2 linked regions of the Astyanax mexicanus genome follow. The protein of the gene in region 1 interacts with the protein of each later gene in a pairwise test. Links are inferred from orthologs where the notes say so. Each region holds a gene or a part of one and is shown on either strand. Other genes may lie near its edges.

The links.
Region 2: the proteins of hivep1 (region 1) and atxn1l interact in a two-hybrid assay, tested with the Homo sapiens proteins (2 studies listed by BioGRID). The link is inferred for Astyanax mexicanus from reciprocal best matches to the Homo sapiens genes HIVEP1 and ATXN1L.

What each region holds. Positions count from the first base shown.
Region 1 is NC_064410.1:63,696,868-63,713,967, forward strand, and holds the start of hivep1 (zinc finger protein 40), read left to right. Parts: upstream 1-10,565; 5' UTR 10,566-10,646; exon of another isoform or gene 10,647-10,710; intron 10,711-10,922; exon of another isoform or gene 10,923-11,105; intron 11,106-17,100.
Region 2 is NC_064423.1:38,558,812-38,576,357, forward strand, and holds the start of atxn1l (ataxin-1-like), read right to left. Parts: upstream 8,386-17,546; 5' UTR 8,033-8,385; intron 4,134-8,032; 5' UTR 4,012-4,133; coding exon 2,875-4,011; intron 223-2,874; coding exon 1-222. Other genes in the region: hsbp1a (heat shock factor-binding protein 1a), read left to right, coding at 9,697-9,741, 12,117-12,183, 14,564-14,685. UniProt on the Homo sapiens protein: Chromatin-binding factor that repress Notch signaling in the absence of Notch intracellular domain by acting as a CBF1 corepressor. Binds to the HEY promoter and might assist, along with NCOR2, RBPJ-mediated repression.

The sequences.
Region 1 (17,100 bases):
AAAGATCAAAGGAAAAGAGAAGAGATATAAGGAGAAGAGAAGAGATAAGAGGAAAAGAGATAAGGGGAGATAAGCAGAGTACAAATAAGACGAGAAGAGATAAGAGAAAAAGAAAAGAGATAAGAAGTGAGCAGAAGAGATAAGAGGAAAAGAGAAGTGATAAAAAGAGAAGAGATCAGAGAAAAGAAGAAAGAAGAAAAGATAAGATGAAAAGAGAAGAGATACGAGGATCACAGGAAAAGAGTAGAGATAAGAGGAGAAGAGAAGAGATAAGAGGAGAAAAGATAAGGAGATAAGAAAAAAGATAAGAGGAAATAAGAAGAGATAAGAGGAGAAGAGAAGAGATAAGAGGAGAAAATAAGAGATAAGAGTAGAATAGAAGAGATAAGAGGAGAAGATAAGAAATAAGAGGAGAGATAAGAGGAGAAAAGAAGAGATAAGAGGAGAATAGAAGAGATAAGAGGAGAAGAGATAAGAGGAAAAGAGAAGAGATAAGAGGAGAAAAGAAGAGATAAGAGTAGAAGGGAAAAGATAAGAGGAGAAGAGGAGAGATAAGAGGAGAAGAGAAGAGGAGAAGAGATAAGAGGAGAAGAGAAGAGATAAGAGGAGAATATAAGAGACAAGAGAAGAGATAAGAGGAGAAGAGAAGATATAAGAGAAGAAGAGATAAGAGGAGAAGAGAAGAGATAAGAGGAGAAAAGAAGAGATAAGAGGAGAATAAAAGAGATAAGAGGAGAAAAGAAGAGATAAGAGGGGAAAGAAGAGATAAGAAGAGAAGAGACAAGAGAAGAGATAAGAGGAGAAGAGGGAGATAAGAGGAGATTAAAAAGTGATAAGTGGAGAAAGAAAGCTTTAGAATCGGCTCTAATACAGTTGTGATTTGGTTCGATTTAGGTTTTTTTTTTATATACTGAACTTTCACTATTCTACTTTACCAAAATAAACACAGTTTTTTTTAATAATATTACAGGTGTGGTCTGATTCACTGGGTTTTGCCACAAGAGGGCGTAAAAGTTTTACTCCAAAAAAGCTATATTTGGGTAGTGTTCCTCCTGGTGAGAGATGGTTAACCGTTAGGTGTTTTTATAAGGTTCTCTGTTACCTGGGCAGGTGATTCTCTGATCTTCTCAAAGCTGAAACTTCCTTATTTTTATCTCAGTTAAACTTTAATAATATCAGAAGTTATTTTGCTGCTCCTGGCGTGAGTTTGTGAGTTTGTGAGTAAGAGCTGGATGACGACAGCAGGTACGAGATGCCGGTTTGTAAACGGCAGCGGTTGAAAGTGTGACTCATATATGTGTCTGAATAAGGAGAGGGTGAGTTGTGTGCAGGCGGGAGCCGTCACACTAAAAACCTCTGAATCCAACATCTCCCCCACACTGCTGCCTCGTCCCCAACACTGCCTCGCCTCAACACCGCCTCAACACCGCTACCACACACTGCAACATCAACACATAATTAACACAGGAGAAAAGAAAAAAGGAGAAAGAGAAGAGTAGAGATATGAGGAGAAGAGAAAATTACAATATTAGAGATAAGAGGAAAAGCATAGATCAGAGAAGAGGAGATAACAGGAAAAGTAAAGAGATAAGAAGATAGGAAAATTGGAGACGAGAGGAAAAGAGAAGATAAGAGACAAGAGAAGCAATAATAAGAAAGGAAAAGAGATAAGAGTAAGCAAAATAAGAAAAGATAAAAAAAGAGATAGGAAATGAGAAGACATAAGAGGAAATGAAAAGAGGTAAAAAGAGAAGTGAAGAAAAACAAAGAGAGGAAGAGAAAAGAAGATAAGAGATAAGAGGACATGATAAAAGATTAAAGTAAAAAAGAAGAGATTAGAAAAGAGATAGGAAATATAGAAAGAAGAGATAAGAGGAGGAGATCAGAGAAAAAGAGAAGAGATAAGAGGACAAGAGAACAGATAAGAGAAGAAGAGATAAGTGGAGATAAAAAGAGAGGATGAGAAAAGATAAGAGGAAATGAGAAAAGATAAAAGGAAAAGAGATAGGAAATAAGAAGACATAAGAGGAAATGAAAAGAGGCAAAAAGAGAAGTGAAGAAAAACAAAGAGAGGAAGAGAAAAGAATGGAAGAGATAAGAGGAAATGAGAAGAGATAACAGAAAATGAAAAAAGATAAAAGTAAAAAAAGAAGAGATTAGAAAAGAGATAGGAAAAGAGAAGACATAAGAGGAAATGAAAAGAGGTAAAAAGAGAAGTGAAGAAAAACAAAGAGAGGAAGAGAAAAGAAGATAAGAGATAAGAGGACATGATAAAAGATTAAAGTAAAAAAGAAGAGATTACAACCCCTGGCAAAAAGTATGGAATCACCAGTCTTGGATGAGCACTCCTTCAGACATTTCATTCTGTAAAACAAACTCTGATCAAAAACATGATACAATAATAAGGTCATTCCAAAGTGCAACTTGTTGGCTTTCAGGAACACTCAAAGAAATGAAGAAAAAACATTGTGGAAGTCAGTGAATGTTACTTTTATTGACCAACCACAGGGAAAAAAATATGGAATCACTCAATTCTGAGGAAAAAAGTATGGAATCATGAAAAACAGATAAACAAAAGATGATTCAAAATACATCACTAGTATTTAGTTGCACCACCTTTGGCTTTTATAACGGCTTTCAGTCTCTGAGGCATGGACTTGATGAGTGACAAACAGTATTCTGCATCAATTTGGTGCCAACTCTCTTTGATAGCAGTTGCCAGATCAGCTTTGCAGGTCGGAGCCTTCTTGTGGACCATTTTTTTCAATTTCCACCACAGGTTTTCAATTGGATTGAGATCTGGACTATTTGCAGGCCATGACATCGACTGAATGTGTCTTTCTCCAAGGAATGCCTTCACAGTTTTTGCCCTATGGCACGATGCATTGTCATCTTGGAAAATTATTTCATTATCTCCAAACATCTGTTCAATTGAAGGGATGAGAAAACTGTCCAAAATGTCAATGTAAACTTGTGCATTGATAGAAGACTTAACCACAGTCATCTCCCCAGTGCCTTTGCCTGACATGCAGCCCCATATCATCAAGGACTGTGGAAATTTGGTTGTTTTCTTCAGACAGGCCTCTTCATAAATCTCACTGGAACGGCACCAAACAAAAGTTCCAGCATCATCACCTTGTCCAATGCAGATTCTTGACTCATCACTGAAGATAACTTTCATCCAGTCATCCACAGTCCATGATTGCCTCTCCTTAGCCCACTGCAGTCTTGTTCTTTTATGTTTAGGTGTCAATGATGGTTTTCTTTTAGCTTTCCTGTATTGAAATCCCATTTCCTTTAGGCGATTTCTTACGGTTCGGTCACATACATTGGCTCCAGCTTCTTCCCATTTATGCTTCATCTGTTTAGTTGTACTCTTTCGGTTTTCAAGACAAATGGCCTTAAGTTGCTTGTCTTGACGCTTTGATGTCTTTCTCGGTCTACCAGTACGCTTGGCTTTAACAACCATTCCATGCTGTTTGTATTTGGTCCATATCTTGGATACAGCTGACTGTGAACAGCCCACATCTTTAGCAACCATGCGTGAAGAGTTACCTTCTTCAAGAAGTTTCACAATCCTCTCTTTTGTTTCAAGAGACATTTCTCTTGTTGGAGCCATGGTTCTTGCCACTCTAATTCATCCAGCAGCCCTCCAAGGTGTCATGACTGCAGGTGTTTTTAACTGCAGACTAACGAGCAGATCTAATCTGAGGCAGGTGTCCATTTAGGGAAAGGAAATTGACTGAGTGTGTCCTTATTTTCTACCTTCAATTTGAGTGATTCCATACTTTTTTCCTCGGAATTGAGTGATTCCATATTTTTTTCCCCGTGGTTGGTCAATAAAAGTAACATTCACTGACTTCCACAATGTTTTTTCTTCATTTCTTTGAGTGTTCCTGAAAGCCAACAAGTTGCACTTTGGAATGACCTTATTATTGTATCATGTTTTTGATCAGAGTTTGTTTTACAGAATGAAATGTCTGAAGGAGTGCTCATCCAAGACTGGTGATTCCATACTTTTTGCCAGGGGTTGTAGAAAAGAGATAGGAGATATAAAAAGAAGAGATAAGAGGAGGAGATCAGAGAAAAAGAGATGAGATAAGAAAAAAGAGAAGAGATAAAAGGACAAGAGAACAGATAAAAGAAGAATAGATAAGTGGAGATAAAGAAGAGATAGGAGAAGAAAAGATAAAAGGAAATTAGAAAAGATAAGAGGAAAAGAGATAAGAGAAGAGAAAATGCAAAGACATAAGAGGAAATTAAAATAGGTAAGAAGAGAAGTGAAGAAAAACAAAAAGAGAAAGAGAAGAGAAGATAAGAGATAATGAGAAGAGATAACAGAAAATGAAAAAAGATTAAAGTAAAAAAGAAGAGATAAGAAAAGAGATAGGAAAGAGAAGAGAAAATGAGAAGACATAAGAGGAAATGGAAAGAGGTAAAAAGAGAAGTGAAGAAAACAAAGAGAGAAAGAGAAAAGAAGATAAGAGATAAGAGGACATGATAAAGTAAAAAAGTAAAAAAAAAAGTAAAAAAGAAGAGATTAGAAAAGAGATAGGAAATATAGAAAGAGGAGATAAGAGGAGGAGATCAGAGAAAAAGAGAAGAGATAAGAGGACAAGAGAACAGATAAGAGAAGAAGAGATAAGTGGAGATAAAAAGAGAGGATGAGAAAAGATAAGAGGAAATGAGAAAAGATAAGAGGAAAAGAGATAGGAAAGGAGAAGAGAAGAGAAAATGCAAAGACATAAGAGGAAATTAAAAGAGGTAAGAAGAGAAGTGAAGAAAAACAAAGAGAGGAAGAGAAAAGAAGATAAGAGATAACAGAAAATGAGAAAAGATAAAAGTAAAAAAGAAGTGATTAGAAAAGAGAGGAAATATGAAGAGATAAGAGGAAGCGAGAAGAGATAAGAGAAGTGAAGAAAAAAGAGAGAAAAAGAAAAGATGGGAAGAGAAGAGAAGAGATGAGATAAGAGGAAATGAAAAGATAAGAGCAACATATAATAGCTGAGTGAGGAGAAGTGATTAGAGAAAAAGAGAAGAGATACAAAGAAAAAATGAAGAAGGGAGGAGATAAGAGGAAAAAGAATAGGAAACAAAAAGAGATAAGAAGAGATAAGAGCAAAAGAGAAGAGATAAGAAGAGAAGAGATGAAAAGATGAATTGAAGAGCAAACAAAAACAGATAAGAAGAGAAAAGATAAAAAGAGAAAAGGAAAGAAGAGAAGAGATAAGAGTAAACAAAAAGAAACAAGAGGAGAAAGTGAGAGGAAAAGAGAAGAGATAAGACAAAAGAGACGGGATAAAAGGAGAAGAGACAGAAGAAGAAATAAAAGGACAAGAGAAGAGAAGAGTAAACAAGAAGAGATAAGGAAAACAGTAGAGAACAAGGGAGAAACAAATAGAGGAAAAGAAAAGATGAAAAGAGAAAAGATAAGAGAAAAAGAGAAGAATAAGAAAAGAAATGTGAGAATAAACAATAGAAATATGAGAAGAGAACAGTAAAGATAAGATAAAAGGAAGTGAGAAGATAAGAGTAACAGTTTCTGAGTTTTGGATAAAGGGTTTCAGATGGTACTTGTGGGTAGTGTCCCTCTTGGTGAGAGATCATTATCTGCTTAAAACAGCTGTAAAACAGGCCATATTTAAACTCTCAGAACTGTTACATCACAGTCCTGACTCATTATGCTCATATTGACAAATTGACAAAGCTCATCTGGTTCTTGTTTTGAAGGAGAACAGCAGCGTTTTGAGGTTCTCGATTTATCTTTTACCCCGGGTTTGCCGTATCGTATCGTACCCAATAATATCGGCAACATTTTTTAATATGGTGAACGATATTATACCCTGAAATATTGTGGAATATCGCCCACCCCTAATTATCACATCAAGATACTACTTTATTACTGTTGATGATTTTGGCTTACAGCCAATGAAAACCTAAAATTAGAATATTATATTATAAGACCAATTGGTGCTTTTGGCAGTGTGGGCAGTGTGCCAAGTCCTGCTGGAAAATGAAATCCTCATCTCCATAAAAGTTGTCAGTAGCAGAGAGAACACCAGCAGATGACATGGCTCTACAAACCATTGTGAAGATGTGGATTTCATTTTCCAGCAGGACTTGGCACTCTGCCCACACCGCCAAAAGTACCAATTGGTCTTGTATATTTTGTATTGTAATTTTCTGAGACAATGATAGTTGAAGTTTGGGTTTATTGTCCATGTCTGCACTGATGCTGATAAAAAAAATTGCCTTTAAGTCGTGAAAAAGTCATGAAAAGAACCCTTTAAAAAACAAAATCCAAATTATTTTTTAATTATTTGGCAACATTTTTTAATATGGTGAACAATAGATATTATACCCTGAAATATGGTGCCATATCTCCCACCCCTAATTACCTAATTACAACATCAGGGTTCTACTTTTTTACTGTTTTTATCAAAAGAAAAATTCACACTGTTCTCATTATTTCCCATTATATATCTACTGAAGACAGATTATATCTGTACAGTATCATTTATTTTACGTTAATCCTGGATATATGGAGATATATGGAGATATTTGGAGTGCATTATTATTATTAGTATCATGATGATTCTGGATCAATGACTTCTGTTACTGTAAATCTATAAATCTGATAAAATTCTTGTATTTTTTAAATATCTCAATTAGGGATGTGCCATATCATATCATATATCATATGTATGCAATAATACAATTTAATTTTCTTTTTGTTGCAGTAGTGTATTCTTTTTATTTATTTTATTTATTGATTTTATTTTTGTATTTTGAGTATCGTTATTGCAAAAATACCATGAAATAGCGTGATATTATTTTATTATTGTATCGCCCACCCCTATCTTTTACACAAATTAAATCTGATTACTTAACTAAACCCATATAAAGCGATTTTTAACCAGCCCTGAGTGTTGTTTATGGTTCGTGCTCTGGAATGCAGAGACCCAGAGGAGATGAATCTCCTGCAGGTGATGACGTTTGTTTGGTGTCCCTGTCTCCTGCACGTATAGACCTCCCCTATGGACTCGCGGAGTGAGACAGACGGAACAGACAGTCACCTCCACCGGGCTCATTAAAACACTATTTATATTCTCAGGACCGGAATGCTCTGACCTTTTTCATTAGCTGCGTGTCACAGCCGAGCGCAGACGCCCGAGACATGCTGTTAGACGCATTCGGCTGCATTACTCGCCATCGCCCGGATCCTGAGGAGGACTGTGGCATGCTGTATCAATCAGATACTCCCTGAATCTATCCCTAGTTCTGCGTGAGAAAATACAACTCTGGGTAAAAATAAGAGAGCACTTAAAAATTTGGATTTTCTCTGATTTTACCAAATTAAAAACCTCTGGAATAAAATCAAGAGGAAGATGGATGATCACAAACCATCAAACCACCAAACTGAACTGCTTGATTTTTTTTTTTTGCACCAGGAGCAAAGCAGCATAAAGTTATCCAAAAGCAGTGTGTAAGACTGGTGGAGGAGAACATGATGCCAAGATGCATGAAAACATATGAATTTGTTTTCTTTGCATTATTTGAGGTCTGAAAGCTCTGCATCTTTTTTTTTTGTTATTTCAGCCATTTCTCATTTTCTGCAAATAAAAAATAAATGCTCTAAATGACAATATTTTATTTGGAATTTGGGAGAAATGTTGTCTGTAGTTTATAGAATAAAACAACAATGTTCATTTTACTCAAACATAAACCTATAAATAGCAAAATCAGAGAAACTGATTCAGAAACTGAAGTGCTCTCTTCATTTTTTCCAGAGCTGTATGATACTAGTGCATCTCAAAGAATTAGAATATCTACATTGAAAAGTTACTTTATTTCAGCAATTCAGTTGAAAATGTGAAACCTATATATTATATAGATGTATTTAACACAGAGTGATCTATTTTAAACGTTTATTTATTTTATTGTTCAAAAAATCTGAAAATTAGAATATTATATAATAAAGACCAGTTGGTACTTTTGGAGCAGTGTGGGCAGTGTGCCAAGTCCTGCTGGAAAATGAAATCTGCATCTCCATAAAAGTTGTTTTCAGCAGAGGGAAGCTGTAAGATATGAAGTGCTGTAAGATTTTGTGGGAAAACAAAACTGCACTGACTTTAGACTTGATAATAAAACACAGTGGACTAACTGTGTTATATCTATATAGACTTATATATAGATATAGGGGCTCGGCTTTAATGCAAGCTTCTGATTGGCTGCAGTGTAGAGCCCCTTTCTAGAGTAAGGGTCAAAGTGTCAGTGTTGGGAAATTGTTGGCCGCAAATGGCCCGCGGGCCGTAGTTTGGACACCCCTGTCGTAGAGGAAAGTGTGAATCATCAGTTTAGCTCAAATCTAGATTAAGCTGTGATATATTGGAATTGTAATATATAAAAAATATGAATTAAACTAAATTATTTTAAACAAAGTCAACATTTTTTCAACATCATTTATGTCAGTAGGATTTACTTAATTAAGAACCTTAAAATCCTAATAGGCAATATTGATTATTAGGTTATAATAGTGATAATAGTTATTTTAGTGTTATTTTATCCTTAATTTAATGTTATTTTATCGTTACTTTAGTGTTATTTTGTTGCTATTTTAATGATATTTAAATGCTATTTTATCGTTATTTAAATGTTATTTTAGTGTTATTTTATTGTTTTAGTGTTATTTTACAGTTATTTTAGTGTTATATATCTTTATTTTAGCGTTATATAATCTTTATTTTAAAGTTATTTTATCGTCATATTATCGTTATTTTATCGTTATTTCATGGTTATATTATTGTTATTTTACTCTTAGATTATCATTATTTTATTGTTATTTTATCATAATTTTATCATTATTTTATTGTTAGATTATCGTTATTTTATAGTCGGATCATCGTAATTTTTTTCTTTCGTTATTTCACTGTTATAATTAGTGTTATTTTATCGTAATTTTATCATTAGATTATCGCTATTTTATCGCTATTTTATCGTTATATTATCTTTATTTTATTGTTATATTATCATTATTTCATGGTTATATTATTGTTATTTTATTGTTAGATTATCGTTATTTTATAGTTATTTTAGTATTCTTTTATTATTTTTTTGTTGTTATTTTATCGTTGGATCATTGTAATTTTTTTTCGTTATTTTACGTTGTAATTAGCGTTATTTTATCGTTAGATTATCGTTATTTTATCGTTATATTCCGGGCAGTGTGCTCCAGCAGCCCCGCCGCTCTCCGGCCGCTCTCCCCGGGCTGGGCGCTCCTCTCCCCGGGCTGGGCTCCGCGCGGGCCGCCGCTGTTCGCCATTGTTCAGCGGGTCTGTGAGGGAAAGCCCAGCGCGAGCCGAGGGGCACAACGTGACCTGACAACGAGGAACCTCCGGGAAAACCGTCAGCCCTAAAGTATGCGGAGAGGGGTCCACCGAGGGGGAACCGCGCGCAGCGACACGCACAGACACACACACACAGCGGCGGTTAATCCACTGTACTGTAATCAGCGCTGTAGATTTATTTTATTATTATTAATTTATTTACTGACTGTAACACAGACTGTACAGAGCAGACACTGTAAACAAGAGCAGCTCTATAACTACACCTTTTTAGTGCAGTCTTTAATAGTGATGATTTGGCAAAATGCCATTTAAACTAAAGTTAGAGACAGTCAAGACAGTCTAGTTAGTTGAAATAATAAATTAAATATGTACATTTTATCTCTACGGTGTAATCAGCTTTATTAAAAATATGTTGCAACTTATCTTTCCAAAAAATCTAAATACCAACATTAAAAAAAAAATAAATACAAATAAATGTCCTGTTCTATGTCTGTTTTATAAATGTTCTATTAAATTTTTAGATTGTTTTTTATTGTTAGACTAACCTTATATTATTATTAGATTTGCATTACTTTATCATTATTTTATCACTAGATTAGTTTTTTCACCGCTATTTTATTGTTAGAATAGTGTTATTTTATCCTTAGATCACTGTTTTTTATTATTAGATTAGTGTTATTTCATTATTATTATTTTATTGATTTATTGTTTGATTATCAGTTTTTATCATATAATTACCGTTTTATATCATTAGATTACTGTTTTTTATTGTTATATTATAATTATTTTATTTTTATAAAAAAAATACATATTTTTGGATTAGCATTATTTTTGCATTATTTTATCGCAAGATCAGCATTATTTTATCGTTAGTTTACCATTTTTTTATTGTTAGATTAGCCTTATTAATTGTTACCATTTTTTATCACTATAGTTATTTTTGCAATATTTTATCGCAAGATTAGCATTATTAAATTATTATATTACCATCTTTGGTACATCTTTGTTTTATATATTATTATTATTATTATTATTATTATTAATTACAGTTCTGTTTTACTTCAGTTTTATAACATTTGCGTTGATTGAAGGATGTGTTTTATCTGTTTGGGGTTAATGTAATGCTGTCGGTGTTGTCGGCCGTCGCGGGCCCCCCCCGCGGTCGCTTCCCCCGGTCAGGGGGCGGAGACGGGACCCCCGCTGACGTCAGAGGGCCTGTCGGTTTCCTGCAATAGAAAGTGAGCGAGGGTAAAAAAAAAAAAACAGAGCTTCCCTGCGCTGGATGTGTTTATGATACAGGTACGTGTTCCCTCAGCGCGCGCGGGCACCTGTACGCACCTGGCGCCTGCGAGCACGCACACAGGTAAACAGGTAAACCGCGAGCTTGTTAGTACGCTAGAGTGACGTAACGCGCCGCCCGTGGTTCGTGGTGCTGGCGGCGGCGGCTCGTGTGTGTTTGTGCGCCCGCTCCGCCGTTGAAAACGCGCAGTGTTTGTTTTACGTTATTAACGCGCGCTTAACGTTTTCCCGGTACCGCGCTCCGGGGGGTTCGGCGGTGGCCAGGTGAGGGCTGGCGCGCGCTCCCGAACCCGGGCCGTGTTTTGTGGCTCACCGGAACGCCTCCGTTTCCTCTGTTTTGGAGTAGACGTCTGCAGCATGTTAATGTGCTCTGTGTGTGTGTGTGTGTAATGTTTATCAAGCCTGCAGCAGAGCTCGCGAGCTGTTGAAGAAGACACCCTGATGACGGTAGATAGATAGGTAAGCTAAGCTCGTGATTAACGCGGAACGCAGCGCGCGGACGGCGTTTATACGTGGTTTTGGTCGGTAGGGAGGAAGCGTGTTTTCGGCGTCCTGTTGCGGAGGACTCGCAGGGGTTTTCCCGGCTCCTCCCTCCACCACCTCCTCCTCCTCCTCCTCCTCCTCTACCGCCGCCGCTGCTCCACCCGGTCATGCCTTTCTGTCTGCATGTATGTTCACTCAGAACGTTTACACTGTTGCAGTAGCGCGAGACACTGTTACAGGGGGTTGCTACGTTGTTGCACTAGCTCGTTACACTGTTAGCAGGGCTTGATACAGTGCTCCAGTGGGTGGAAACATTGTTGCAGGGGGGAGTGTACACTGGGACACTGTTACTCTGGGTGGCTACAGTGTTCCATGGGCTTGATGCACTGTTACAGGGTTTGCTACATTGTTAAATTAGATCAATAAACTGTTACAGGGGTTGCTACATTGTTAAATTAGATCAATAAACTGTTACAGGGTTTGCTACATTGTTAAATTAGATCAATAAACTGTTACAGGGGGTTGCTACATTGTTAAATTAGATCAATAAACTGTTACAGGGGGTTGCTACATTGTTAAATTAGATCAATAAACTGTTACAGGGGGTTGCTACATTGTTAAATTAGATCAATAAACTGTTACAGGGGGTTGTTACATTGTTAAATTAGATCAATAAACTGTTACAGGGGGTTGCTACATTGTTAAATTAGATCAATAAACTGTTACAGGGGGTTGCTACATTGTTAAATTAGATCAATAAACTGTTACAGGGGTTGCTACATTGTTAAATTAGATAAATAAACTGTTACAGGGTTTGCTACATTATTAAATTAGATCAATAAACTGTTACAGGGTTTGCTACATTATTAAATTAGATAAATAAACTGTTACAGGGTTTGCTACATTGTTACACTAGCTCGTTACACTGTTAGCAGGGCTTGATACAGTGCTCCAGTGGGTGGAAACATTGTTGCAGGGGGGAGTGTACACTGGTGCATTGTTACTCTGGGTTGCTACAGTGTTTCATGAGCTTGATACATTGTTACAGGCAGTTGCTACACTGTTGCACTAGCTCAGGACACTGTTAGCAGGGCTTGATACAGTGCTTCAGTGCGTGGAAACATTGTTGCAGGGGCAGTGTACACTGTTACTCTGGGTTGCTACAGTGAGCTTGATACACTGTTACAGGAGTTGCTACATTGTTAAATTAAAGCAACCAATAAACCGATAGCAGGGCCTGATAAAGTGCTCCAGGGGGTTGAAACAATGTTGCAGTAGCTTGATATGTTGTTGCAGACGCATGGTACATTGTTAGAAGGGGTTGCTACATTGTTTCACTTGCTCAGTACACTTTTAGCATGGCTTAATATAGTGCTCCAGTGGAAACACTGTTGCAGGAGCATGGCACGTTGTTGCTCTGAGTTGCTACTGTGTTTCATGGGCTTGATACACTGTTACAGGGGTTGCTATATTGTTACATTAGCTCGCTACACTGTCAGCAGGGTTTGATACAGTGCTACAGGGGGTTGGAACACTGTTGCAGTAGCTTGAAATGTTGTTGCAGGGTCATGCTACACTGTTACAGGGGTGGAAACATTGTTGCAGGGGCTGATGCACTGTTACAGGGGTTGCTACATTGTTACACTAGCTCGATGCTCTATTACTCTGGGTTGAAACACTGTTGCTGAAACTCTATATTAGTGCAGGGGCATGGCACACTTTTACAGAGGTTGCTACATTGTTACACTAGCTTGATAAACTGTTACAGGGTTTGCTACATTGTTGCAGATGCTTTGTACACTGTTACTCTGGGTTGCTACGGTATTCTATGAGCTTTATACATTGTTAAAGGCATTTGCTACAGTGTTATGGGGGTTTATACATTGTTGCAGATGCATGATACACTCTTACAGGTGGTTGATACACTTACCATGGCTCGATGCACAGAAGCTCAATACACTGTAACTTTTGGTTGAAAAACTGTTACAGGGGTTTGCTACATTGTTGCAGATGGCAGATACACTGTCCCCATGGCTTAAAACATTGTTATATGGGTTGCTAAATTGTTACACTAGCTTGATACACTGTTACCAGGGCATTTCTACACTGTTACAGTGGCTTGCTAGCTACATGCCTGGTTCATAGGGCTTGAAACACTGTTACTCTAGGTTGATAAAGTTTAATGCATTGTCTCATGCAGTTGCTACATTGTTACACTAGTCGATATACTGTTACCAGGGCTTGATACACAGTTATTCTGGGTTGAAACACTGTTACAGGGTTTGCTACGTTGTTACACTAGCTTGATACACTGTTTCCAGAACTTGAAACACTGTTACAGATAGTGCTAAATTGTACCAAGCCCTGGTAACAGTATATCGAGCTAGTGTAAAACTGTTACAGGGGGTTGCTACTTTGTTTCACTAAGTTGATACACTGTTATCAGGGCTTGATACAGTGTTCCTGGGTTTGCTCTATTTTTTTGCAGACAATTGATACACTGTTACTCTGGTTTGCTACATACACTGATGCTCACATACACTGGATTACACTGTTACAGTAGTTTGCTACATTTGTCCAGGGGGTTGATAAACTGTTACAGGTAATTAATAAACCACAGGGGTAACTCGTTACATTGTATTTTCCCCAGTTTCCCCACAGTGAAGATTTATAACAGATTTTCTTATCTTATTTGTTATAGGAGTTTGATAACGCTGCGTTGTTTGTGGGGGTTGATGCACACATTTATTTATAATTTTATGTACTAGAGTGTGTCTAACCTTTTGAGGTTGCGTGCACATGTGGTGCCTCCTAGCAGCAGCAGTATCAGCAGCAGCGCAGCGTGCATGCATGCTAGTGTGCATGCTAGCTGTGTGATCTAGCCAGCTAATCGTACAGCTGACATGCACAAGCTGTAGCCTATGCAAAACGTGCATGCATGCACAGGAGCATGCACAGGAGCATGCTCGTGCATCCCTGTATTTACGTGTGTGAGGGGTGCAGGAGGGTGACGTCATTGCTGTAGCATTGCACATGCCCCGTGCACTCATAGTAACTACAGTATTATGTAATATGTGTAGAGGAGGCTGCGTGGTGCAGGATGGCGTTTTTTGGGCGAGGCGGTGGGCGAGCAGCAGCAGTGAGCCCCCCTCTCGCGCTCCCTCTCATTCTTTTGCTTTTCTTTCTCTCGAGCTCTCCTTTTCTCTGCTTGTAGATAAGGCAATAGATGTGCACCAAACATGCAGCTCCAAAAACAAAGCCAAACATTTTATTGTATATACACATAGCTCCACTGATTGTATATATTTTACACTGTAGTTATATATAATAATTACAGACTGTAGTTCTGTATGTGTTTCACTGTATATTTTATTATTACCCTCCTCCTTTTACCTTATTAATATTATTATTATTATTATTTGGGTTGTGGGTGGTTATTCTCAGCACTGCAGTGATTAGCACTGATTAGCATGGTGGTGGTGTTTAGGGCTGGGTATCGCAAAAAAAAAAAACAAATTTGATACTGATACGGTACCTTGAAACACTGTTGTAAGGTTTGCTCCATTGTTACACTAGCTCAATACGCTGTTACTCTGGGTTGCTACATTGTTACACTAGATTGATACACTGTTACTCTGGGTTGCTACATTGTTACATTATCTTGATACACTGTTACACTGGGTTGCTACATTGTTGCTCCTGCTTGATACACTGTTACTCTGGGTTGCTACATTGTTACATTATCTTGATACACTGTTACACTGGGTTGATACACTGTTACACTAGCTCAATACACTGTTACTCTGGGTTGCTACATTGTTACACTAGCTCGATACACTGTTACTCTGGGTTGCTACATTGTTACATTATCTTGATACACTGTTACACTGGGTTGATACACTGTTACACTAGCTCAATACGCTGTTACTCTGGGTTGCTACATTGTTACACTAGCTTGATACACTGTTACTCTGGGTTGCTACATTGTTACACTAGCTCGATACACTGTTACTCTGGGTTGCTACATTGTTGCTCCTGCTTGATACACTGTTACTCTGGGTTGCTACATTGTTACACTAGCTTGATACACTGTTACTCTGGGTTGCTACATTGTTACACTAGATTGATACACTGTTACTCTGGGTTGCTACGTTGTTACATTAGCTCGATACACTGTTACTCTGGGTTGCTACATTGTTACACTAGCTCGATACACTGTTACTCTGGGTTGCTACATTGTTACATTATCTTGATACACTGTTACACTGGGTTGATACTGTTACACTAGCTCAATACGCTGTTACTCTGGGTTGCTACATTGTTACACTAGCTCGATACACTGTTACTCTGGGTTGCTACATTGTTGCTCCTGCTTGATACACTGTTACTCTGGGTTGCTACATTGTTACATTATCTTGATACACTGTTACACTGGGTTGATACACTGTTACACTAGCTTGATACACTGTTACACTGGGTTGATACACTGTTACACTAGCTTGATACACTGTTACTCTGGGTTGCTACATTGTTACACTAGCTTGATACACTGTTACTCTGGGTTGCTACATTGTTACACTAGCTTGATACACTGTTACTCTGGGTTGCTACATTGTTACACTAGCTTGATACACTGTTACTCTGGGTTGCTACATTGTTACACTAGATTGATACACTGTTACTCTGGGTTGCTACATTGTTACACTAGATTGATACACTGTTACTCTGGGTTGCTACATTGTTACACTAGCTTGATACACTGTTACTCTGGGTTGCTACATTGTTACACTAGATTGATACACTGTTACTCTGGGTTGCTACATTGTTACACTAGATTGATACACTGTTACTCTGGGTTGCTACATTGTTACACTAGCTTGATACACTGTTACTCTGGGTTGCTACATTGTTACACTAGATTGATACACTGTTACTCTGGGTTGCTACATTGTTACATTATCTTGATACACTGTTACACTGGGTTGATACACTGTTACACTAGCTTGATACACTGTTACTCTGGGTTGAAACATTGTTACAGGGTGTTGCTTCATTGTTGCAGACAGTATATACACTGTTCCAATGGCTTAAAACACTGTTATAATGTTTGCTACATTGTTACACTGGCTTGATACACTGTTACAAAAGCTTGGTTCAGTGTTCCAGGGCATTGAAACACTGTTACAGTGGTTAGTTAGTTACATACAATGTTACTCTAGGTTGATACACAGGTCCTTAAAAAGTCTTAAATTAAATTTTGGATAATTAAGGTTTTAAGGTATTGTAGGTATTTTTTATCGTAGGTTTTTTAATTCCGGTGGGAAAGCACATATTTACATGAGCGTCAAGTTACTGGGGAGAGTAATAAGGTAGGCGTAGACCTAGCTAACATTAGCGGTAAGCTAGCTTATGTTACTGGGAAGAGAACTAAGTTTAGTGGAGAGCTAGCTAACTATGGCTGCAAGCTAGCTAATGAGCTAATGTTACTGGGGGAGTACTAAGGAGAGTACTAACATTAGCAGTGAGCTAGCTAACATACAATATTAGCGACAAGTTAGCTACATTAACGGGTCAAGAACTAGGATAAGAGCTAGCTAACATTAGCTGCAAGCTAGCTAATGTTACTAGGGGGAGAACTAAGGTTAGCGGAGTTAACATTAGCAGCGAGCTAGCTAACATACAAATGTTAGCGACAAGTTAGCTACATTAATGGGGAGAGAACAAGGGTTAGTGGAGAGCTAGCTAACATTAGCTGCAAGCTAGCTAATGAGCTAATGTTACTGGGGGGGTACTAAGGAGAGTACTAACATTAGCAGCGAGCTAGCTAACATACAAATGTTAGCAACAAGTTAGCTACATTAATGGGGCGAGAACTAGGGTTAGAGTTAGCTAACATTAGCTGCAAGCTAGCTAATGTTACTAAGGAGAGAACTAAGTTTAGCGGAGTTAACATTAGCAGCGAGCTATCTAA
Region 2 (17,546 bases), on another chromosome or scaffold:
ATGATGATAATCCAGGGGCACCAGAACCGGCTGTCCGTTTGCCAAGATCACAGCATGGCCAGGCTGTTGATGAAGTTGGGCTCGAGGGTCCAGCTGGACAGTGGCCTGTGAAGCATATGCAGTCCTGCCCTCCCCCTGAACCTCTCGGCTTCGCTGTGAATTCTGGGACGCCTCTCTGCGACCGTGGACCGGCGAGGCTAACCGCCCCACCACCTGCTGGACCTGCAAAAAATATATATACACATATATAAATGAATTACTATTAGAACTTTCTGATGTTTTTAAGCAGACAAATTACTTTTCACAACAATCTATCTTTGCAGAAATGTGAAATATTTTTTTATATTTAGAAGCATTTTTTATTTTTTTAAGAAATTAAAAAAAAAAAGTTAATGCTTCGTATGACACATATGCAATAAAATATGACAGATACAGATACAGTAACAAAACATAATAATAATCCCCCGATTTATCCCGAATCCATGTTTCACACCCTGATCAAGACTATCCAATCTTTGACCTGAAGATATCTGAAAAAAAATGATTTACAGGTATAGTATATTTCTGTCCCAGAAATAATTGGGACAGAGATAATGTCATCAGCTCCAGCAGCTGATGGCAAGCTGCATGACCAGGATTCAAACCAGTGATCGACTGGACATAGTAGCAGCGCTTTAGAGCACTGGACCCTTTTGATAATAATATAGTAGTATAATAGTGCCCTTTTTAAGATAATGAGTTCATTTCATTATTAAGAATATTGAGACACTTCAATTAGAACATGAAACATCTCTAAATATCTATAAATAAGTAAATAAAATATAATAAATATAAGTAAATATAATAAATATAAGTAAATAAAAAATAAAACTAATCTCAATCAGGTTAATGGGCTATCTTATGGAAATATACACATACATGGCACAATGGGAGAACAATTATGTCCAAATAATGTACGATAAATTGGCAGACCTCATTTTTAAGGAGCACTCCTCCAAAATAAAGCTTTTCCACTTTATTTAAGATGAATACAAGTTTAGAATTCACTACAGTACAGATTACAGGCAGATTTATGATCTCTCCCCTCTAACTCTACTAGAGTACTACTTCCTGCTCACATCCGATTCCCTATGGCAGTTTAAACCCACAATAAATCAGAAAAAGCTATCTCTGACCATTTCTAAGAAGTTAGCGTCTGACTGCCTGTTACTCAATCACCAACACAGCCAAACTACAGCTAATACAGGAAGGAAGTGGAGTACAACACCGCATGCTGCAATACTGATTTAAAGGAATGGGGTTAAAACTGTTAAGAAAAGGTGGCAGAGACTCTCATTAACTAATGTTGAATGAAGACATGTGGTTTGATATAAATAAAGAATTTCTCACAGTTTTAACCAATAAATGAGCATGTTGTAAACGTATTATTCCTGCCTTATGGTGATAATACCATCTGCACACTAAACAACAGCATCCCGTGGTGTGAAACTTGTGACTGATACACTCATACCAGTCATGCCATTACCAGGTCAATGATGATGGCAAATTGAGAACGGAAGTGGGGTCAAAAAACACAGATGTTTAGGAAACCATCCATCTCAAGCCATTGGTTCTCAAAATGATCTAAAGAAACCTACTGAAAGGCCAGATTTTGATTTATCAGAATTGATCAGAATTTGGATTTTTAAAGAATAAGAAATGAACACACTGCAAAATACAGCAATATCACATAATTATGGAGCTAAATATTGACCAATGCTTTGAAAAACCTTTTAAACATGTTTTATAGAACACCAAAACGGTGAAATAAATGTATTTAATTCATTCAAACATTGGAGACAAGTTTGAGAACCAATGCTTTCTAGACATTCCTAAAATGTTTTTTAAAACACCAAGAAGTCACAGAATCTTTTGGTGCTCCTGCCATAGCAAAAAATTGTGGACCTAGAATGATTTGGATGTTTTTCGTTGATTGCACTCAATGGTCACAAAATATTGAACCATCAAACACTTCACATCACTGAAACCCAACAAAGGAAACAGAAACTAAAATATAGCTATTAATATAGCTTAAAATTAAAAGTATTCATAATCTCATGGCTAACAGGAAAATGGCAGTAAAAAGGGGGAAAAGCAGTTTAATTACTTTAATTTCAATGGAAACAATGGTATATTAAAAGAGTTTATCCTGGTTTTGTTGCAGTAACTGTCTCTAATGTCCATTGAAGACTACATTTCATTATTAAAGGCATTGCTGTGAATCAGGGCTGCAAATATTGAATATGTTAGTAATCAAGTATTCTACTGAAAATTCATTTGATTAATCCAGTAATTGGATATAACATTTTCGGTTTCCTTTTTTAGAACTGTAATAAATGGTGTTGTCACAATACCACACAATTATGACTTAATACCAATAGTGAAACATACATTAACTGAAACTATGTGTTTCATCATATGGATAAAAAGAAGTTAGACGACACAGAGCTTGCCTCAGACACTGGATTATACTTCGGAACGTGGGTTTGTGCTGAAGTACAGCAGTAAACCAGTCGCAGAAATTTACTGTGAATCCGACTGTTTTACAAACGGTAGGATTTCTTTCCAGACATTAAGCTGTTATTAAGCTTCATGATGATTGATAAGGATGGTCCACCACCTCAATTATTCTTAAACTTTTTTTTCTCCACAGGGAGTACACTTTAAGCGTGTTAAGGGGGTATTTGCATCTGTGTTAGCAGTAATGCATGCAGATTGAAGTTGCTGAACTGCTGCATCTATTAGACAGGGTGTCCACAAACACTTGAACATTTGAACATTCAGTGTTTTTTTTTTTAATTTAAAATAAAAGAAACTAAGCGAGGACTGTCTTACCTCCAGGTCCATGTCTGGGGTGCTGCGCTGCCCAGGCGAGCCTCTGCCCTCCTGCCTGCGACTCTTCAGGCCCCTGTCCTGCTGGGGTTCGAGTGCAGCCGCTCCGGGCGCTGCCTGAGGCGGCCGTGCGTTCCTGACCGTGTAAACCGCGTCTTGGTGGAGTTCCCTGCCTCCGTGTTCCCTCTCTCCTCCATTCACCTCTCTCTCCTGCTCCAGCGAACCACCATGGGGGTCCCTCTGAAGCTGCACAGCTCTGGCACTGCCAGAGGGGTGGTAGAACATGGGCACTCCCCTCGGACTGAGCTCCGCTGCCGGCAGCATCCCTACTGCGCTTAGCTGCTGCTGCTGCTGTGTTGCGGCCTGTTCTGAAGACAGCACCAGAGGAACTCCTCCTCCAGGGGGTGCCGCCACTTTGGCGTAGGCGTGGGTAGACACCTGCTGCTGCGGGGGCGAGGAGACCACGCCCTCCTGGATCACTGAGGGGTAGGGGACCAGGTGGGAGACGGGGTGTGGCTGGGGGATTGCGGACTGAGGGGATATTAAGGGGCTGGGGACAAAACCTGGTGGTACAGCGTAGGGAACGGCGGTGGCGTAAGGTGAACTGACGAACTGTAAAGAGGAGTGCGGGATGGGGGTGTAGCCGAGAGGGGGGTAGGGGATGCCTGGATGCTGCAGGAGCGGAGATGGAATGGTGTAAGCAGCAGGAGATATGTGCACAGGGTGGAGGCTGGTTGGAGAATAGCTGACAGAGGGGAGGGCCACTTTGTAGAGCATGCTGTACTGATCCACAGGCAGCCCAGCTAGGCTTTCTGGTCCTTCCACACTGTAGTGGAGCCCAGGCTGAGTCCGAACCCACTCACCACTACTCTGGGGTTCTCCACCTGTTCCAGAGCTCTGTGAGGATGGGGCATCCTCGCTGCTGCCACCACTGCCACCACCACTGTTGCTGCTGCCACCTCCTCCTCCTCCACCACCACTGCTGCCTCCAACCCCGCTACCTCCTGCATTATTACTACTACTGCTGCTGCTGTTGTTGGATGTGGTGGTGGTAGTATTGGTGTTGGTGGCATTGTTAACCGGAAGGTCCCGCTTCTTCGGAGGTAGGCACTCCTGGTTGCGCTCGTGGGCCGGCTTCATGGCGCTCCAGGCTAGGTACGGGCGATGCTAGTGGCAAGCAGGGGCGAGGCCCGACAGCCGCACAGACAGCACCCCTGTAATCAGCTCTGAGAAGCTCCTGCTGACCTCGTCCATTGCATTATCTAAACATAATAAACACACAAACAAAAGCCTATAAATGGTTTATTACATCATAACCATCATACTTATGATAATAGTGGCAGCAACCTAGATCTCTAATGGCTTTTTCCCCACTTGTCTACTTTACTACACAATTACATTAAAACCAGAAAAGGCTGGGCAATATTGTTAAAACAATGCCAAACTTTTGTGGATGATATATTGGCACTGAAATGATTGCGATTAACAATATAATTGCAATTTTGCAAAGTCTATTAAATGCCACTAAAATACTGATAATGAAATAGCATAACAAAACAACTACATTCTTTTAAAAAGAACACATTTGCAAGTAACATTTCCAATTCTCGATTACGACTTTCATTCTCATGTAACAACTAAAAAAAGATCATTTTATTCGTACATTGAATGAATGAATGAATGAAGTTATATTTAAGGATGTTATTTAATAGTTATTAAATGATTATATTTATTGAATGATTATAATTTTTAACTGAAAGGATATAAACATCCAGAATAAGTGGGTGACATCTTCCCAAATTGCTCCTATCACACTCACATGACTTTCTAGAAACCCTTATTTTGAAGTGTCAAAACCATGCAAGTAAGTATATATTTAAACAATTTTAAGCAGAGACATTATATTACAGTTAAATATTAGGAAAAGTGAAAAATATTAAAATCACTGCCTATTTTTTTTTTATACATACCATATTTTTCGGACTATACAGCGCACTTAAAATCCTTTAATTTTTTCCAAAAATCGACAGTGCACCTTATAATTTGGTACACATTTATTATAAATTCTACCAGTCAGGTATTAAGGAGCAGTAAAGCCACTTCACTGAAGTCCAGCATTATAAGGGTGAGATTTCAGAAACTTCACTAAAAATGCACCCTTAGACAAAATATTGGAAATCTATGCGCCATGTAATTATGAATGATAATATACCAGAAAATAGACCAGAAAACAGACGTTCCAATAATAGTATGCCTTATATTTTGGTGCGCCTTATAATCTGAAAAATACGATACACATATTTACAGGTTTCTGACAAAAGCACAACCCTATCTACTGAGATTCCCTCTGGCAGCTTATATATATATATATATATATATATATGTCAAAATGTACAATCCCCATTGTCTTTTTTGGAATCTGCATTAAAAAGTACCTCAATTAACAGAATTAATTCAATTACCTGCCCAGCGCTATACATAATACTGCAGCAGCTTAGTTCCCTAATGGCTTTTTCTCACTGCTACACAGAAAAACAATCTTACACAATTACATTAAATCCAGACCCACCACATTTTGTTTCAATACGCCCGTCACACTATATTTACACTGCTAACGGAGCACCATACCATACTGAAACAGGGCACGCTGTGAAGAAGCCGCAACCAAGTATCATAGCAACAAGAGAATTTCAACCTCAAATATTACGACTCAGGATATATTTTGCTCATCCTAATTGCATTGCCTTGTCACATGATGTTTTCACGATGCCCAGATTTAATCAAGATGTGAATAAAACGAGGCATTAAGCAAGAATTGGTCAGAGGCTTGGCGCACATGGCCCTTTTCTTTCTGCCACCTCACACTCAATGTTTGTTCATCCTCAGAACCTCAGAATGCGTTTCTAAGGTTAAACATTAAAAATTATTAACTTCTGATAAGCTGATATATATATATATGGCAAATTTCAGCTCAAATCTGTTAATATGATAATGTTCAACTAAATGAGGAAACCTGGACTTGAAGGTTTTTAACCAAGCATTAAAAACATTACAATATATTGTACAATACAAGATATACAGTACCAGTCAAACGATTGGACACACCTTATCAACAGCCTGTCAAGAGTTAACTACTTGAATTTCTTGCCTCTTATTGCATTTGAGAGCATCAGTTGTAAAGTTGTGAAGAGGTATAGTTGATATACAGTGCATATGGCTATTTGAGTAATGATATAATCCATTTTCTGACATTTTTAAAGAAAAAAACAGTTTGTTTAAGTAATTAAGGTCAGTGTGTGGAATTTACACAAGTTTAGGTTTCAAAATTACTTGTGGAAAAGCACTTTTTAATGGATGGTCATGTCTGCCAAGGGCCAATACCATTCCTGTGTTTAAAGCTGTTGGAGAAATTTTACTCTTCTATATTGTCTATATTGCTCTAACCTGGCAGAGACAGAGCTAGTGCTGCCGCTGCTGGAAACATGAATGAGCAATGTTGCAAAAAATATATATAATTATACATTATATATTTATAATTATAACGTGCCTTTTTTCTAATTATTGATCTGTACATATTTAAGATATTAGCGGTTTATCTTAAGGTAATGTTTAAGTTCCCTTCATGGTCAGTTATTCATTTACAATGTACAAAAAATAAAAGAAAACATTAAAGGAATGTCAAAACTTTTGACTAATAATTTGTAATTTGTAAATTGTAATGTGTAAACAAACTGTGTGAACATACACTTACATTTACGGCATTTAGCTAACACTTTTATTCAAAAGGACTTATGAGATTATTTCTATTACAGAAGTGGACCAATGGAGTGTTTGTTAGGAGTCTTGCCCAAGGACTCTTACTGGTGTAGCACCGCATTCAATCACCCAGACCAGGATTTAACCCCAATCTCCCAGTCCACTTAGATAAACTACCCAACTAAGTATAACAAAAAAATACTTTGAGAAACAAAGGCCCGACAATCTGAGAAATTTCAAGAACTTTGAAAAACCATCAAACGTTATGATGAAACTGGCTCTCATCAGGACCGCCACAGAAAATGAAGACCAATACTTTTATCTTAAGCACAGGATAAGATTATTTTGGTTTGTTTTAAACACTTTTTGGTTTACTAGATAAATGAATAACTCCTTATGTATTCCTTCATAGTCTACATGGATTATTTCAGCTTTTATTCGCAATGTAAAGATAAATATAAATTATTAAAAACATAAAACATTTGTATTAATTTGTAAATAGGTTAGGTTAGCTAACCGGATAAATAGCACAGGAAACATTTAGCTAGACTTAGTAAACAATAAAAATTCTCAATACTTTAGCTCTACACTGATTAATCACTCATTTCTGTTACTTATAGCATAAAGAGTAACAGGAGTGAGTGCCAGTAACAGGTAACAGAACTGTAACCTGTTTTTTTCCAATTCTGTTTGTTTTGTCATGTATCTATTTGTTAAATAAATTGCATGATAATACATTTGATTAATTTGAGGTTTGGGTCTTCTTGAAAAGATAAAAATAGCTTTGTATATTTTAGAAAAATACAATGTGCATGTATATATATGAATTTGTTTGTCAAAAGTATCAATTATTTGAACATGCAGTCAACTATTTCTTTAAATTAAAGACTTTTTGAGAGAAAACATGCTTTTTAAATGTCACATAAGTTTAATTTGAAAGGGTTTCAACAAGCAAATGGCACCCATTTGGCGAAATAGCCCATAAAGTAATTAAATATTTAAATATTTGTATAAATTTGTAAATATGAGTAAATGAAGCCAGTTAACCCAATGCTAGGTTAAATTAGCCAGGTTAGCTAACAGCATAGATAGCACAGGAAACCTTTAACTAGCCTTCATAAACAGTACAAATCCTAAATACTACAGCCATACACTGATTAATTACACATTAATCTTAAACAGAAATATATATTTATTCTCTAAAACACTGAATTATTAACTCCAAAAGCCTGAAATTAAAGCTAAACCCTCTCTAAACTATAAAATCTCACTGCTGGACATTACCGAGGGGCTCCGCGCGAGCCCTACCGTTAGCCGCCCGCTGCTAACGCGGCTAACCGCCTCTCCCCCGCCGCGGAGAGCCGTTTCCCGCCGGTACCGCGCCGCGTCCCCCGCCCTCACTTACCCCCGCATGTGGTGGAGCGGCCCGCGGTCCGGCTGCATGCTGTGGGGGAGTCCCGATGATAGAGCCGCGCTGAATCAGGGCTGCGGATCTCTGCCCAGTCCACAGGCCAGCGGCCCAAACCCCAGCGGCGCGCCCGGATGATGTCAGGACAGCAGGGCTGCGCTGAGCTCCGGGAGCCGCGCGGTGCAGATTCACAGATCTACAGATAATCCGGATCGGAAACCCGCTTCACCATCTAATGCGCATTCTGTATAGTAATCTGATTTAGGAGTTTACAACAGCGTGCGGCTCAGGGAAAGTCCAATGGGGGTCTCCGGCTTCTGACCTCAGCGCTAATCCAAACACACGCACGCACGCACACACACACACGCGATAATTCGTGAGTACGACCTCGCTGCTAAACTATCCAGTAAAAAAAAAGCTGGTCATCCAGACAAACATACTCTAACTAGTCAAGATTTGTTCTCTATCTTTATTTTTTTAAGAGTGGAAACAAGATAACTAAGTCGTGGGGACGACATATAAGCCCAGGACTTAATTATCTTGTTTCCAACCTATAGTAAGCTATATATTTTAAATCCTTTTCTTTAGCAGGGATCTATGGAAACCCCCACAGGTGACATAATGTAAAAAAATAAATAATGCGTGGCCACTTCTATTTAAGGTGTGGGAACAGAATAATTAAGTCGTGGGGAAGACTTATATGGCCAGGACTTCGTTTCCACACCTTAAAATTCAATACGTTTCCATGCCCTATTAATACTTTTTTCTGCTTCTGTGTGCTTTGTTTTCACTGCTGCTGTAACACTATAGATTGCCCCTTATCTTATTTGTTCTTTATCTTATATAAATATATAAAATATATATAATATATGTCATAGATTTTAGCTCATTGTCTTAGCAGCCCATGCTATACTTTCTCTCTGCTTCTGTGTGCTTTGTTTTTACTGCTGCTGTAACACTGTAGATTACCCTGCTGTAGGGCTAATAAAGGATTGTATTATTTGATCTTTATCTTACATAAATATAAGTCGTAGCGTGTGTTTATAGCTTATATTCTTAGCAGCGATCTATAGAGCCTGTGATGGGACATCATATAAAAAAATCTGTAATGCATGGCCAAAGATTCTCAAATACATACGTAAATACATTAGTAAATTCACACCTTTTTGTATCTAGTACGGTTTGAACAGGTAACTAGGTAGTTCATCGGTTAAAATAGCTAAATACGTAGCTATATACACATTTATTTTTTTTATTTTTAGCTGCTAAAACCACGTAAACCCAGTGAAATATCCCCAGAAGTGAAATATCCCCAAAATATAAAGAATTAGCCAATTCTTTACATTTAAATGTTAAAGCTTAATCTGAAGTCTTAATCGCGATTAATCACATAATGTCGTTACGATTAATTCGATTATTTGTTTTTATTAATCGACTAACACCACCAGGAGCGTGCCCCTCCGCGCCTGTAGGTGGCGGTGTGTCTGCGGGCTGTCTTCTCTCTCCACCAATCAGAGCCGGCTTTCCCTGCTGTTGTCAGAGTACAGTACAGTGTGTGGGCAGCGCTCTCCGGACCAGAGGAACAGAATTAGAGAGCGGGTTCTGACGGACAGCGGGTTTTTTAATCCGGCGTTTTATTAAACACACCGCAGATTTACAGCATGTCTGAGACCGAGCCCAAATCAGCGCAGGACCTGACCGTGGTGGTGAGTGCGGCTTTACTGCGCAGGCGCACAGGGCTGCGGGGATTCCGCCGCTTCTGGGGATATTTTACTGGGTTTACTGGGTTTTAGCATCTGAAAATAAAGAAATAAATATCTGTATAGCTTCTTATTTAGCTATTTTAACTGATAAACTACCTAGTATCTTGTTCAAACCGTCCTAGATACAGTATAGTGCCTATTTACTAATGTATTCACCTAAATAAAACAGTAAATGTGGATATTCTGATATAATAAAAGCTTTAATAAGCTATTATTTTAGTCCAAAATGATTCCAGCGATGGTGACACCAGTTCAAACTCAGATTATATTGTTTAAAATCTATTTCTAGGTGTCAATAATGCAGTAAAGTGTTTACTAGTAGAAACTGTCTTATATGGCTTATATATCATATATGAAATTTGTACCAGCAATGAAATCAGACTAGTTTACCTACAGTACATTACCAGAATCACATGATATCTGGGATGTAATGTTGCTTTTTTTACTATTTAAAACGATTAAAAACTGCATTTGCAGGTATCTAATTAATAATTACTTTTAACTAATATAAAATGTATTATAAATTTAGTCTGACTAGTACTGAAATGCTAATTCAAGATCTGTAATGTAGACTAGGTGCATTTAGAATATGTGTAGTTTTAATATTAAAAATATAAAAAATGTAAGGGATGCACGATGATATCTCTTTATCTATATTACATCGTATCAGTCATTATGGCCAATATTTCAAATTGATACTTGAGATAATATAAGCCTTTATTAATCCCACAGCAGGGGAAATTTGAGGTGTTACAGAATCACAGAGGACAGAACAGAAGTGGGTACCACTTTAAAATAAGACTACCTTTTTAAAGGGTTTATAAATGGTTTACAGTTAGTTTATTAATGGTTACTAATTAGGTTGTAAATGCCTTAAAAATCATTAATAATCAGTTATAACACATACGTAGAAAGGGCAACTATATAGATGTTGTGGGTTCACTATTTTGCAAACAACAGGTCATTGTTGCCCTTCCTAAGTATGTGTTATAACTGATTATTAATGATTTTTAAGGCATTTACAACCTAATTAGTAACTATTAATAAACTAATTGTAAACCATTTATAAACCCTTTATAAAGGTAGTCTTATTTTAAAGTGGTACCCTGAAGTGTTAGGGAATATATATCAATATAAAAAAATATATAATATATATACATATATATGTATATATACACTAACTACAAGAGAATGAAACAATACTAAAAAAAATGTGATCTAGAAAAGCTAAGATAAGAGGAAGCCTGGTTCCCCAGTATATCTTATAGTAAGCAGTGATCACTGTTATTTTTTGCACATAGGCTGACAGTAATAAATGACAATTAAATAGTAAATAAATGATGATATTGCACATGATATTGTTGGTAAAGAGATTATGCAACATATGGATAATGTAGCTATTTCACATTGTAGAGCACTAGAGCAGTAGTAAGTAAATAATTTAGGAAGTCTAATACTTTCTACTTAGAGTAGGACAACTTTAAAATCCATTTGTTTAAGCTCATTTTTATTTATTTTTTATCAATTATAAAGTTATACCGGGGTCTAGTCTAGTTTCTCTGTAAGTAATAAGTTTGTGTATCTGCATATATGTACTTGTGTTATCAGCATCAGACCAGAATTCCAACATCGGCGCATGCCTAAAACATATATAAATATACACTTACAATCTGCTTTTTTGAAGTATTAAAAACTGTGTCAGAAAGATCTGTAATTTAATAGGAATTTTTAATGGTAAACGTAGGGCTTGTGAGGCTGGTGTTAGTTAAGGTTAAAAAAGGGTTGTTTTAAAAAGCACCATAACATAGAATGTTTGAAATTCAGTCATTTAAAATCATAGATCATTGCTTTAATATTAATAAACCTAAGGAATCAGCTCAGCAGCATGTTCTGCCGGGTCGCACAACTGGACACAACACCAGGGTGGCTTCTCGTCTCCACGGAGACGTGTGTTTGGACGGTAGAATGGAGGAAGCTGTATCTTAGTTACCATTTTAAATGAATGAAGTTCCAGTTGCTATGCAGTGTATTTGAGTTTAACTCGCCCGGTCTCTATTTGTTCTGTTTGTTCGCCTAAAATACCTCGTTTCCATGGTTTCAGCTGCAGCGTGGGCGCGTGGCATGACTTTACACTGCTTTGATCTATCCTGTACTGCGGGCAGCCATGGCGACCCTGGACACCCACACACACACTCAGTGTGAGGGAGTTGTGCGTGCCTGCTGTTCGTGACTTTAACCGGCGTCGTGTTACGCTGAGTTGTCCTAGAGAGGCCATTCATACATTTTCTCTTTCTGTGACTCTCTGTGTCTCTCTTTAGGTGCAGACTTTGCTGCAGCAGATGCAGGACAAGTTCCAGACCATGTCAGACCAGATCATCGGAAGGAATATCCTGCTTTAATTTTATTACTAGAGATTTGTGTTCTGTAGGACTAGTAAACCTCTAGAGTTAGGGCCTGAATTAAAAGCATATATGGAAGTATAAATGGTCACACACACTGAGAGGCACCAAGGTTTGTGTGTTTCTTACATTGTGTATATTTGGTACGATTAATATTGGTTTTTACACTACAATTTAGTCAGTGGACTATTAAACGTTACTACATCCTGTCATCATCAGCTACATGGGCACAATCTCTCAGTCAGATTTATGAGGTTGAGTCACCTGGAATGGCTTTAAGTTCCCTGGTAAAAAATGAATATACTTAACTGTACATAAAACATATTAAGAAATGTATAAGTATGCTGTAAATATACTAACAGATGTATGTACTTACTTCAATTTGATTAAAAGTAATATTATGTTTTATTAAATGTTTAAAAGTAAACTTTGATCATACTTTTTAAAAAGTACAATAAAAAAATCATGTACAGTTCAATGTAATTCAGTATACTTCTTAAATACTAAATACTTATTTCCCAATATACGTTTGTACTTTTTTTTTTAGCAAAGTGTGTTAAAAACGACTATTACAGTAGTTTAATTAATGTACAATGTATCATGTAACTTTTTCAAAAAGTTAATTAAATTACTACATTTAAAATATATATATTTAAAAAAAAGTATATTTGTAACAAGCTAAACATTACAGTACAGTATATTCAAATATATTTTTATACCTAATAAAGGATACTACAAGTGTGCTATTACGAAAGACAGGAACAAGAAACATATTTGTACTCAGTACATTTCTAATATACTTGCTGTATAGTAATAGTGATACAGTTGTAATACACATTAAATGTATTATAATTTTACTGTAAGCATATTTAAAATATGAATATGGGGTCACATACATGAAGTAGTTTAAATGTTTAAATGTTACTTAAGTATATTTAAAATAGTTCCATTTTAGTACAGTTAAGTACACTTAGCACAATTTAAGTAAGACCTTAGTACTATTTTTATATAATTAAAGTATAATAAGTACAAAAAAGTTGTTCCATTTTAGCACTCTTTAAATATACTGGTTAATAATAATGTAGCTACAAAAACACTATAGTGCACTATAGCATAATAATGATTAGTATACTTTAATCTACTTTTTATTCATTAGGGTTAACAGCTGTGCTGAACCCATCAAGAGTTAATTACTTGAATTTCTTGTCTCTTAATAAAGTGTTTGAGAGCATCAGTTAAAGTAAAGTAGTGAAGAGGTAGAGTTACAGGTATACAGTGAATACTGAATATTTGAGTAATGTTCTAATCCAGATTATGAGAAGCAAGAAATACTCAAATAAAAGACCATTAAAAAACATTATGATGAAACTGGCACTCATCAGGACCACCCCATGAAAGAAAGCGCAAGGGTTACCTCTATTGCACAGGATGAGTTTATCAGAGTTACCAGCCTCAGAAACCACAAGTTAACAGCTCCCCAGATAAGAGCACCTAAATTATGTATTTTTAGTTTGTTTAACACTTTTAAGTTACTACATGATTCCTTATGTTTTCCTTCATAGTCTGGATCAGTTCATTAACAAATAGAAATGACAAAAAATGTTTTGAAAAGTTACTTTATTTCAGTAATTCAGTTCAAAATGTGAAACTCATATATTATATAGATGTATTAAACACAGAGTGATCTATTTTAAGCCTTTATTTCTTTTATTGTTGATGATTATGGCTTGGATGGTTTGGAGAGTCATGTCTGTCATCTGCTGGTGTTGATCCACTGTGTTTTATTATCAAGTCTAAAGTCAGTGCAGTTTTGTTTTCCCACAAAATCTTACAGCACTTCATATCTTACAGCTTCCCTCTGCTACTGACAACTTTTATAGAGATGCGTGGATTTCATTTTCCAGCAGGACTTGGCACAATGCCCACACTGCTAAAAGTACCAGTTGGTCTTATATCATATTCTAATTTTCTGATAGACTGATTTTTGGGTTTCATTGGCTGTAAGCCATAATCATCAATAATAAAATAAATAAGGGCTTAAAATATATCACTCTTTGTGTTTAATACATCTATATAATATATGAGTTTCACATTTTTAACTTAATTACTGAAATAAAGCAACTTTTCAAAGATATTCAATTTTTTTACCTGTATATAAAGGTAAAATGCAATAATAAGTTAACGGAATGAAACAGCAGAATAATACATATAAAATAAAATTCTAAAAATAAGTACAATTATAAAATTGTTTTATCTTAATCTAAATAGTTATCTGCCAAATGAATCTTTGCATTTCCTGCCATATGCACTTTATCACTATTTGGGTTTAAATACCGTATATGAGATGTTCTCCTTAATGCTCACACTCGATGAGATGAGCACACGGATCGATGACCTGGAGAAGAACATCTCTGACCTCATGACTCAGGCAGGAGTGGAGGAGTATGAGGGGGAGAATAAAGTCAGTGACGCATCGGGAACAGCTTGATAAAGGTTTGGAATTGATGCTGAATTGAATTGTTTTCTTTAGACTGTAAATTTAGCTGACTTTTTTATTAATTAATTTATTTTCTTTTCAGTTCGCCAGGAACACAGAGGAACCTACCTTTTCCATAGGCGTGGCAAAGTTCTCTAATTATAATGGTCTGTATGTATGTACTGTATGTTTGTATGTATGTGTGTGTGTGTGTGTGTGTGTGTATTTTTATTTTTTATGTTTTTTTTTGGGGGGGTGGGTGGGGGAAAGAAGGGGTTATGTATGCCATATGTGTAAATAGCGTTTGATATGGATTATAATGCTATCATAATGCTATGATTTTGTTTAATGCTGCACTAAAATTAGTTTTTCTTTTTCTTTTTTTTTTTTTAACTAAAAACCTCTACAGTGTAGGATCACCTAACCCCCCGCCTTCAGACCTTTACTCAGACAGCAGTGGGTTTTACACCTCCAGCCTGTTAAACTGCTCATTTAAATCATGTTAGTAGCCACATTACACCAGAGGAAATACTGCATGAATCTTTCTGTAGTGGAAGGTGAAAAAATGGAAGCATGGAATGGAGTTATTTTACACTATTTTACACTTATTCATTTATTTTACATTCTTAGCACAGAATGGCATAGTTACAGACAGCTTTCTTCAACAGCAATAACATGGTGTTTATGTAATGGAGTTTGCAGGGTTTGGGCAGGAAAGCACTGACCAATTAAACATCTATAACTATGCAAACATATATAGTGACTAATTCCATTAAAAATGTGTTTATGTTGCATTTCAGTCCAGAGGTGAAACATTTTGAACTGGTTAGTTAGTGGACCTGGGCATGGGAGTGATAGAAGTCATAAAAAATGGTTCAGAATAAAACATAAAGAACTATTCTAAATATTACTGTAATTTCAAAACACTATATATATGGTGGTATATGAGGTGTTAGTGTGTGTTGTGCTGGTGTCAAGGTATAAGTGACAAGGTATAAATACTCCATAAGAAAGAGCTAGCGCTTAAAGCAGTTAGCAGCTAATGCTAATGCTGCTCCAGCAGTGCTAGCCGGGGTTAGCAGCAAGCTACAGTCTGATATACTCGCCTTTGAACAGCAAAAGAGCTAGCGCTGACCTAATGCTAGTACTTCTGGAGAGACTTCACTGAAAACTCTAACCCGTATAACGCTGTACTTCAGCGAAGTGGATTTACTGCTCCTTAATACCTGACTTGTAGAATTCATACATAAGACACACCAGATTATAAAGCACACTGTCAATTTTAAGTGCACCTTATAGTGTAAAAAAATACGCTATTTACATTGTACTAAAATACAGGGTTTGGACAATGAAACTGAAAAACCTGTCATTTTAGTGTGGGAGGATTCATGGATAAATTGGAGCAGCCTGGTGGCCAATCTTCATTAATTGCACATTGCACCAGTAAGAGCAGAGTGTGAAGGTTCAATTAGCAGGGTAAGAGCACAGTTCTGCTCTAAATATTACAATGCACACAACATTATGGGTGACATAGCAGAGATCAAAAGAGGAGAAATTGTTGGTGCACGTCTTGCTGACGCATCTGTGACCAAGACAGCAAGACTTTGTGATGCATCAAGAGCCACGGTATCCAGGGTAATGTCAGCATACCACCAAGAAGGACCACCCACATCCAACAGGATTAACTGTGGACGCTGTAAGAGGAAGCTGTCTGAAAGGGATGTTCGGGTGCCAACCCGGATTGTATCCAAAAAACATAAAACCACGGCTGATCAAATCACGGCAGAATTCAATGTGCACCTCAACTCTCCTGTTTCCACCAGAACTGTCCGTCACCACAATCAATTATTGTGCTCTAAAACCAGGTGTTTCAGTTTCATTGTCCAACCCCTGTACATATGCAGCTGAAAGAGGGAGCCGAGAGCATCCCAAATATATCAATGTTAACATTTTATTGTATTGTTAATGTCATTATGGCTTTTAGAAAAATGTGGCCTAAGCTTTTATTTTTAATGGCATTTTCCCCTTTATATTACTTTTACTTTTATACTTTAGGTAGTTTTGAAACCAGTACTTTTACACTTTAACTTAAAAAGTAAAAAGCTTTAAGTAATAATCGAGTAATAGAGTGGAGGACAGTGAATGATTAAACACAGTGTTTAAAAACTCCAGCAGCACTGCTGTATCTGATTCACTCGCTGTAACAGCACAACACACACTAACACTAATTACTACAGACTACAGTCTGTAATTATTATAGAACTACACAGTATTAAATGTGATCAGTGGAGATATATTGTCATATGTTTCATTAACATACAGCCTGGAGGTGTAAACCCTACTAAGCCCACTCACCTGTACACCTGTACCCACCTACCTATATACACCTGAACACCATGATCTTTCATTGCCTTCTACTACATACAGTGCTACACATACACAGACGTTAAGCAGACTGTGATACCTTTCTTATTCATTTTAATGCTCTCCATCACTCTTTCCACTCTTCTTTCTGATATGTTATATCTGCCAATGTATTTATCCATCTATCTCTCCATCTACAGTACCAGTCAAAAGTTTGGACATCTTCTCATTCTGTGTCCATTCTTTATTTCCATTGGTTTCTACATTGTAGATTAAAATAATGAAGACGTCAGAACTACGAAAGAACACATGGAATTATAATTATTATTATGTAGTACTGTACTTTATCTCTCTCTCTCTCCCTTATATTCCTTTTTGCTGCACTTTCTGCACCAACAAAGAAAACAGCAAAGACCGTGCTTAACAGACACCTGATCTACTGTGACTCCACACATACATTTCCACTGGTGCTGTTCATGAGAGATCTTCTGCCTGGTTATTAATAAAAA